Linked DNA regions of Macaca fascicularis. Each later gene encodes a partner of the first gene's protein in a complex. Links are inferred from orthologs where the notes say so. Each region holds a gene or a part of one and is shown on either strand. Other genes may lie near its edges.

What was found.
Region 2: the proteins of KLB (region 1) and FGF19 are in contact, whole or in part, in a crystal structure (PDB 6NFJ), measured with the Homo sapiens proteins. The link is inferred for Macaca fascicularis from reciprocal best matches to the Homo sapiens genes KLB and FGF19. Residues at the interface, in NP_783864.1 of Homo sapiens: Phe379, Lys380, Val392, Leu394, Trp419, Phe420, Thr421, Asp422, Val425, Thr431, Tyr434, Met435, Asn438, Tyr643, Glu693, Arg696, His743, Asn824, Phe826, Met832, Gln848, Phe849, Leu850, Gln851, Ile853, Leu862, Phe931, Phe942; in NP_005108.1 of Homo sapiens: Leu192, Thr194, Asp195, Ser196, Met197, Pro199, Phe200, Leu202, Val203, Thr204, Ser211, Pro212, Ser213.

Annotation. Positions count from the first base shown.
Region 1 is NC_088379.1:38,694,046-38,698,606, forward strand, and holds the start of KLB (beta-klotho), read left to right. Parts: upstream 1-1,563; 5' UTR 1,564-1,654; coding exon 1,655-2,479; intron 2,480-4,561.
Region 2 is NC_088388.1:4,954,030-4,958,264, forward strand, and holds the start of FGF19 (fibroblast growth factor 19), read left to right. Parts: upstream 1-1,229; 5' UTR 1,230-1,375; coding exon 1,376-1,607; intron 1,608-1,869; coding exon 1,870-1,973; intron 1,974-4,235. UniProt on the Homo sapiens protein: Involved in the suppression of bile acid biosynthesis through down-regulation of CYP7A1 expression, following positive regulation of the JNK and ERK1/2 cascades. Stimulates glucose uptake in adipocytes. Activity requires the presence of KLB and FGFR4.

The DNA.
Region 1 (4,561 bases):
CCACCTTGGCCTTCTAAAGTGCTGGGACTACAGCATGCATGACCACACCCAGGTGGTTTTAAATTTTTTTTGTAGAGATCGGGCCTCACTATGTTCCCCAGGCTGTAAAACATTAAATTTTTTACAGGTTATTTGGAGGCTATTGATTCGGCACAATATTTATTTCTGTAGGTACATGTATTTCTTTCTGTATGTTTATATTTATTCCAGAATCATGCTGAAGGTTGTTTATGCCTTTGCTATCTTCTTTTTCAGGTTTTTCTTTCCTTTTTAAAAACAAATATTGCCTATTCTTCAAGTGAACTTTCATAACAATTTTCTTTTTTTTCTTTTTTTTTTTTTAATTTTGAGATCGAGTCTTGGTCTGTTGCCCAGGCTGGAGTGCAGTGGTGCAATCTCAGCTCACTACAACCTCCACCTCCCAGGTTCAAGAGATTCTCCTGCCTCAGCTTCCCAAGTAGCTGGGATTACAGGCACCTGCCACCTTGCCCAGATAACTGTATTTTTAGTAGAGACGGAGTTTCAACATGTTGGCTAAGCTGGTCTCGAACTCCTGACCTCAAGTGATCTGCCTGCATTGGCCTCCCAAAGTGATGGGATTATAGCCATGAACCACTGTGCCTGGCCTCTCATAATAATTTTCTTGAACTAAAATTTGGGATTAGACCAGGCATGGTGGCTCACACCTATAATCTCAAGCACTTTAGGAGGCCAAGGCAGAAGGGCTGTTTGAGCCCAGGAGTTCAAGACCAGCCTGGGGGATGTAGCCAGACCCCACCTCTACCAAAAAATCAAAAATCAGCTGGGCATGGTGACATGTGCCTGTTGTCCCAGCTACTCAGGAGGCTGAGGTGGGAGGATTGCTTAAGCCTGGGAAGTTGAGGCTGCAGTGAGCTCTGATGACACCACTGCACTCCAGCCTGGGCTACAAAGCGAGACTGTTGTTAAAAATGAATGAGTTAATTTAAAAAATAGAGATTGGAGAATTTTAGTTAAATAAATAAAATTAAAAAATAAAATTAGAGATTAGAGGACTTTAGTTAAGTGTATTAAATTGTAAAGTATTCCATTTTTCCATCCACAAAGTGCTATATTTTCTCATTGAAGTTTTTCAAGTCTCCCGATACAATTTTCTTGAAATAGGTAACATTTATTAAGCTTGTTCTTAGGTGTGTTAGAATTTTGTGGAGAAGTGTCATTTCTGATTGTGTTTTCTAATTCCTTACTATTAGTATGTAGGAATGCTGTATACTTGTATATGTTATTTTTCTTGATAGGTGAGATTATAAAATTACCACACAAAAACTGTAAAAATAGAAAAGGCATATACCTTATTCAATAATGTTCAAAACATTCAGAAAAGGTTTGGGTCAATATGAAAGGCTACACAGAAAATAATGTGATTGTAATTCAGTGTTTACATAGGTGTTAGTTACACATTTAAACTCTTGTCACCAATGCATTCTCATCTAATTTTTCCCATAATGAAAGAGAAGGAGACGCATTGGTGACTGCAATAGGGCCACCTCCCTCAAATTACGTTGCTCTCTATGACCCATCCTCAGTCTCCCAGTTCAAGCTAATCATTGACAGAGCTTTACAATCACAAGCTTTTACTGAAGCTTTGATAAGACAGTCCAGCAGTTGGTGGCAAATGAAGCCAGGCTGTGCGGCAGGATCTCCAGGGAATGAATGGATTTTCTTCAGCACTGATGAAATAACCATACGCTATAGGAATACAATGTCCAACGGGGGACTGCAAAGATCTGTCATCCTGTCAGCACTTACTCTGCTACGAGCTGTTACTGGATTCTCTGGAGATGGAAGAGCTGTATGGTCTAAAAATCCTAATTTTACTCCGGTAAATGAAAGTCAGCTGTTTCTCTATGACACTTTCCCTAAAAACTTTTTCTGGGGTGTTGGGACTGGAGCATTGCAAGTGGAAGGGAGTTGGAAGAAGGATGGAAAAGGACCTTCTATATGGGATCATTTCGTCCACACACACCTTAAAAATGTCAGCAGCACGAATGGTTCCAGTGACAGTTACATTTTTCTGGAAAAAGACTTATCAGCCCTGGATTTTATAGGAGTTTCTTTTTATCAATTTTCAATTTCCTGGCCAAGGCTTTTCCCCGATGGAATAGTAACAGTTGCCAACGCAAAAGGTCTCCAGTACTACAATACTCTTCTGGACTCTCTAGTGCTTAGAAACATCGAACCTATAGTTACTTTATACCACTGGGATTTGCCTTTGGCCCTACAGGAAAAATATGGGGGGTGGAAAAATGATACCATAATAGATATCTTCAATGACTATGCCACATACTGTTTCCAGACGTTTGGGGACCGTGTCAAATATTGGATTACAATTCACAACCCATATCTAGTGGCTTGGCATGGGTATGGGACAGGTATGCATGCCCCTGGAGAGAAGGGAAATTTAGCAGCTGTCTACACTGTGGGACACAACTTGATCAAGGTACTGTACAGCTCGCTTCTTATTATAGCTTCAGAAAACACTAACAATTTACCTTCTGCCTCAGTAATTCTCTTATTGAAATCAAGGCAACTGATTTCAGGCTATTCACAAGATCTATCCTCAAATTTTGTATTTAAGTTAGTGTATGTTTTATTTAGCTAAGCTATTTTTAATGTATTAATCCAATCAGTTTTTTTCAAAAGTCGCACTTTGAGGCTATTTTTAAATCTACCATCATACACTACAGTATGAAAATATGAGCTTACTTTCATTCTGTGGGAAAACAGTGCTTCATAAATTTAATTGTTGGAACCCTTTTCTGACAACGTGCAATTGTTTCAGAATTATGTTAAGGCACAACCATTTCAACTATGTATTTGTTGTTAAGGATAGCTAACTTAGCTAATAAGTAAATAAAGTAAGTAAATAAGTAAGTTAAATAAATGTTAGCTAACTCATGCATATTAAATACAGAAATTTAAATGTACTTCACATTTGATTTTATTTGTGTTACATAGCAAAAAAGAGAGGGTTAATTGTTATGGGAGCTAAACACATTTCTTCCCATAAGAACTGGGAAGAATGTGCTCTACTAAAGCAATTTTCAAGCAGTGTATTTCAAAAGCTAGAGATTATGTTGAGAAATGTTAACATTAGTAAAACAATAGTGAAAATGCAAGCAAAATCATAGGTAATATTTACTGAGTACTTATTATGCACCACAGACTACATTAAGTATTTTACATGCATCGTCACAGTTGATCCTCTTATCCTCTTAACAGCCTTATGAACTAGTCTTCTTATTCTTCCCATTTAAAAGATGAGGAAACTGAAGCTTAATGAGATTAAATAATTTTCCCAAGGTTAAGGAGTAAAATACAGCTGTTATGGACATGGATTTTTTAAATGACAACATAATTAACACTAACTGTCTTCATTAAGAATGTTTTGAAAAGAAGACTCAGGAATTTTCAAGAGTTTTAAAATTAAGAAAAATAAGTTATTCTGCACACCTGTTACATTTTAAAAATGAAAAAACTTTTATCAATTTTATAATGTGCTACAAAAAGTAATTTAATTATTAATAATCAAAAGCTAAGTATACAGAAATTTTAAAAAAGAGCAACATAAAATAATTCCATGTCTGAATTTGTACATACAAAAATATCTGCTATCACTTCTTTTCTTTTTGAACTTTTCTGGATTATTACACATGTGCATTGTACTATGGTTTCAGACACATCTGCCCTTGAAGTAAACAGATTGCATTATGATTTAAAGGTCATTTGTACATTTTTGACTAGAATTGTATATAGAACATATTAATGTGTGGGTATACTATGATTTGACAAAATAAGGCCTTAAAGGGGAGAAATTGTATAAGTATTTAAAAGTTCTCAAGATTATGCATGCAAAAGTTAGAAAAATATTCCTTTCATTTAGTCCTTTTAATTTTTTTTTGTTTTTTTGGTTTTTTTTGAGACAAAGTCTCATTCTGTCACCCAGGCTGGAGTACAATGGCGTGCTCTCGGCTCACTGCAACCTCCACCTCCCAGGTTCAAGCAGTTCTCCTGCCTCAGCCACCTGAGTAACTGGGACTACAGACACGTGCCACCTTGCCCAGTTAATTTTTGTGTTTTTAGTAGAGAGGGGTTTCACTATGTTGGCCAAGCTGGTCTCAAACTCCGGATCTCATGATCCACCCGCCTCGGCCTCCCAAAGTGCTGGGATTACAGGTGTGAACCTCAGCCAGTCCTTTTAATTATTAAAACAATTCATGCTCATGTACATTTAAAAATATCAGATTGGGCGGGGCGCAGTGCCTCATGCCTGTAATCCCAGCACTTTGGGAGGCCGAGGTGGGTGGATCACGAGGTCAGGAGTTCGCGAGACCAGCCTGGCCAACATAGTGAAACCCCCTCTCTACTAAAAACACAAAAATTAACTAGGCATGGTGGCACGTGCCTGTAGTCCTGGTTATTGGGGAGGCTGAGGCAGGAGAATCCCTTGAACCCAGGAGGCAGAGGTTGCAGTGAGCCGAGATCACGCCACTGCACTCCAGCCTGGGTGAGAGTGAGACTC
Region 2 (4,235 bases), on another chromosome or scaffold:
TTCCCCGCCAGGGTATTCTCTGGATGTCCTTTTCTTTATTTACAGGAACCACTTCATGGAGCGGCCCCTATTTCTTTCCTCACCTGGCACATGCCCGGAAGCCAGGGGCGCCCATCACCGTTCCTTGGCCCCTTCCCGACCCCTCCCCACCAGGTAAGGCGCTCTCGACCTCCCCGACCGTGCTGTTCCCCCTGACCCCGTGCGCAGAGACTCGGGGACTGAAGGACCAGACCCCCGACACAAGACAGCTCAAAAACCGGGAAACGGAGGCCCAGGCCTCCCTCCCTGCGCCTCTGCCTCCATCACCCTCCAGCCGAGAAGCTGGGGTTCACCAATCCCGCAGCTGGCCCGCACCCCCTGCCCGAGAGCCTTCTTCCCAGTGCCCCCTTTCAGGTAGCATCTCGGGCACAGCCGCGGGGCCGGGGCGAGCGCGGAGCAGGCAGGGGCGCGCGGCCAGGAGCGCAAAGCCGAGGCCGACGCCGAGGCTGCGGCGCCACCTACAGTCCGCGCGGCTCCCATTGTTTCCCGGCCCGCAGAGAGCGCGCCCGGCCCCCCGTCGGGGGGCAATTTACCCGGATAAAAGGGGCGGGGCAGGAATTGCAAGAAGATGAAGCTGGGAGAACCTGAGACGGTCGGAACTGCGGGGGGAAATTCTATTGGACGGCTTTGACGTCAGATGTGCTGGGCTGGGAAAGTCGGGGGAGGGAGTGCGAGTGGCCTTTTAAGGGGAAGGACCCTAAGGCCGAGGTGAGGCTTTTACCGACTAGAGGGTGAAGGAGGCAAAACTCGGTGCCCCCAAACCTCTGACCCCGGGGTTCCTGACCCCGCCCCTGCTGGTGCCCCATGCCGAGAGCATCCACTGGGAGCCCGACGCCTGGGGGAGGGGCCCCAGTTGTCGATTGCTTTGCAAAGTCAAACTCTCCCAGCCAAGAACCTCGGGGCCGCTGCGCGGTGGGGAGGAGTTCCCCGAAACCCGGCCGCTAAACGAGGCCTCCTCCTCCCGCAGATCCGAACGGCCTGGGCGGGGTCACCCCGGCTGGGACAAGAAGCCGCCGCCTGCCTGCCCGGGCCCGGGGAGGGGGCTGGGGCCGGAGGCGGGGTGTGAGTGGGTGTGTGCGGGGGGCGGAGGCTTGATGCAATCCCGATAAGAAATGCTCGGGTGTCTTGGGCACCTACCCGCGGGGCCCGTAAGGCGCTACTATATAAGGTTGCCGGCCCGGAGCCGCCGCGCCGTCGGAGCAGGAGCGCTGCGTCCAGGATCGAGGGCCACGGCCATCCCAATCCGGCACTCACAGCCCCGCAGCGCATCCCGGTCGCCGCCCAGCCTCCCGCACCCCCATCGCCGGAACTGCGCCGAGAGCCCCAGGGAGGTGCCATGAGGAGCGGGTGTGTGGTGGTCCACGCCTGGATCCTGGCCAGCCTCTGGCTGGCCGTGGCCGGGCGTCCCCTCGCCTTCTCGGACGCGGGGCCCCACGTGCACTACGGCTGGGGCGACCCCATCCGCCTGCGGCACCTGTACACCTCCGGCCCCCATGGGCTCTCCAGCTGCTTCCTGCGCATCCGCACCGACGGCGTCGTGGACTGCGCGCGGGGCCAAAGCGCGCACAGTGAGTGCCAGCCAGGTCCCCCGCCCGCCCCGCCCCGCGCATCCCACCCCAGCGCCCTTCCTTCCTTTGCCACCCTTAGGCTCCTGCGGACCCCTCAACTCCTGGGAACCCCAGGTTTTGGCACTTGGGCGTTAGGATCCCTCCCTTAGTCCCCAAACGGCGCGGGACGCTAGGGAGAGGCACAGGCTCGTGGACCGACCGCACCCACGTGGTGCGAGCCCCGGGGGTCCCGGCTGCAGCTTCTCGCTTTCCCTGCGCCCAGGTTTGCTGGAGATCAAGGCAGTAGCTCTGCGGACCGTGGCCATCAAGGGCGTGCACAGCGTGCGGTACCTCTGCATGGGCGCCGACGGCAAGATGCAGGGGCTGGTAAGTGTCCCCACGGGGCGGATGCGCCGGGGCGGGGAACCAACGCCTGTCCCCGGGCGGAGGCCGGAAGGAGAAAAAGGCGCTGGTTCGAATCCAGGGTTTTCTCGCCTCCTCCGACCAGACCCGTGTGCAACTTTGAGGGAGATTGCAAAGACCGATTAAGTGCATGTCCGACGATTTTCTACTGAAATTTAGGGTCTCAGCCAGTAGCCAGAGAATAGGCAAAAGCTGCCTTTGCATTTGCAATTGAGTCAAAGGCCGGCCCAGCCGGACCGAGGAAACCCATTATTCGGCCTCCTTTGATATTAAACAGGAAAACCCACCTCGGGCCTTTTCAGCCTCTGCCTGCGCGTGTGTGGTCCTCGCCTCCGTTTCCCTCCCTCCAGTATAAAAAGAAGAAAAAAAGAACAGGAAAGAAAAAAGAGGGTCTACCCATAACTTTCCTTTAAAAAACAAATCAATTGTCCAGCAAGGCAGAAAACAGTGCATTTGGGATAGGCGAGTTTTTTTAGAATTAATTTTTAATCTACCAGGAGCACGATGTGGCTTAGACGCAGATGCGCTGGAGTCAAGTTGCGCCAGAGGCGTGCTTTTCCTCCTGCGGGCCTCACCTGTCCTGTAAACGCTTTCTGGTGGGGGCAGGGGGTGGCGGCTGGCTGGGAAGGCCCAGGTAACCGCAGAGGTCCCGGGGCCGGAAGTGTACGAGCGCTGGGGCTCTGGTGGCCCTGGAACAAAGGCTGGGAGTTCAAAGGAACGAACCCGCGCCCCTCCCGCGGCCCCGCGCGCAGAGGAGGCTGTGTGAGGTCTCGGCCCGCGCAGGCCTCACACGCAGCCCCGGACTCCCTGGCGGAGCAGGGGCCAGGGCGGGGGTGGCCGCGCCTGCCCGGGGCCCCCACCCCAGAAAGGATGCAGAGGCGGGGCCGCCTCCAGCACAACCAGCTCCTTTGTGAACAGCGGGACAAAGCATTTTAAGAGTCTCAAAATTGCTCGGTGCTTCTGTCGTGCTCCGTGTACTCAGAGCGCCTGTTTCAGGTTTTATGGCGGAGTCCTGCGTGAGAGGACTGCAGGGAAACGGGGTGGTCGGCACGCTGGACGCTGACTCCCACCCAGAGCCGCTCCAAACCCACCCTTGCAACTTTAATTTTGACATATATGATGGTGGGGGGAGTGCTTCTAATGATGGGAGGCCAGCAGGGGACATCAACCTAACCCGCCATTCTGCCCAAATTGGGGGTTGGGTCACCTGAAATCCCTTTGTGCCTTTTTTTTCTTTTTTTCTTTTTGGCAGAGTCTTGCTCTGTCCCACAGGCTGGAATGCAGTGACCCGATCTCGGCTCACTGCAACCTGTGCCTCCCGGGTTCAAGCGTTTCTCCTGCCTCAGTCTCCCATGGAGCTGGGATTACAGGTGCCCACCACCACGCCCAGCTAATTTTTGTATTTTTAGTAGAGATGGAGTTTCACCTTGTTGTCCAGGCTGGTCTCGAACTCCCAACCTCAAGTGATCCGCCCATCTCGGCCTCCCAAAGTGCTGGGATTACAGGTGTGAGCCACCGGGCCCAGCCCCCTTTGTGCCTCTTGATCCCCTGTGCATGGTCTAACACAGATTGAGGATCTTTCTCTCTCTTTCTCTTTCCTTCCTTCCTTCCTTCCTTCCTTCCTTCCTTCCTTCCTTCCTTCCTGCCTGCCTGCCTTCCTTCCTTCCTTCCCTCCCTCCCTCCCTCCCTCCCTCCCTCCCTCCCTCCCTCCCTCCTTCCTTCCTTCCTTCCTTCCTTCCTTCCTTCCTTCCTTCCTTCCTTCCTTCCTTCCTTCCTTCCTTTCTCTCTCTCTCTCTTTCCTTTCTCTCTCTCTTCCTTTCTTTCTTTTTTGAGACGGAGTCTCGCTCGCTCTGTCACCCAGGCTGGAGTGCAGTGGCATGATCTCGGCTCACTGCGACCTCCACCTGTGGGGTTCAAGCAATTCTTCTGCCTCAGCCTCCCAAGTAGCTGGGACTACAGGCGTCGTGCCACCATGCCCAGCTAGTTTTTTTGTATTTTTAGTGGAGATGGGGTTTCACCATCCTGGCCAGGCTGGTCTCGAACTCCTGACCTCATGATCTGCCTGCCTTGGCCTCCCAAAGTGCTGGGATTACAGGCGTGAGCCACCTCGCCTGGCCTCTTTCTTTCTTAAATAAAGATTCCACATTCTTCTAGAAACTTGAAGTCATTTCATCTTCTGTATGGGGAATGTAATACTTATTTCTCCCAAAGGACAAGCCGAGTAAA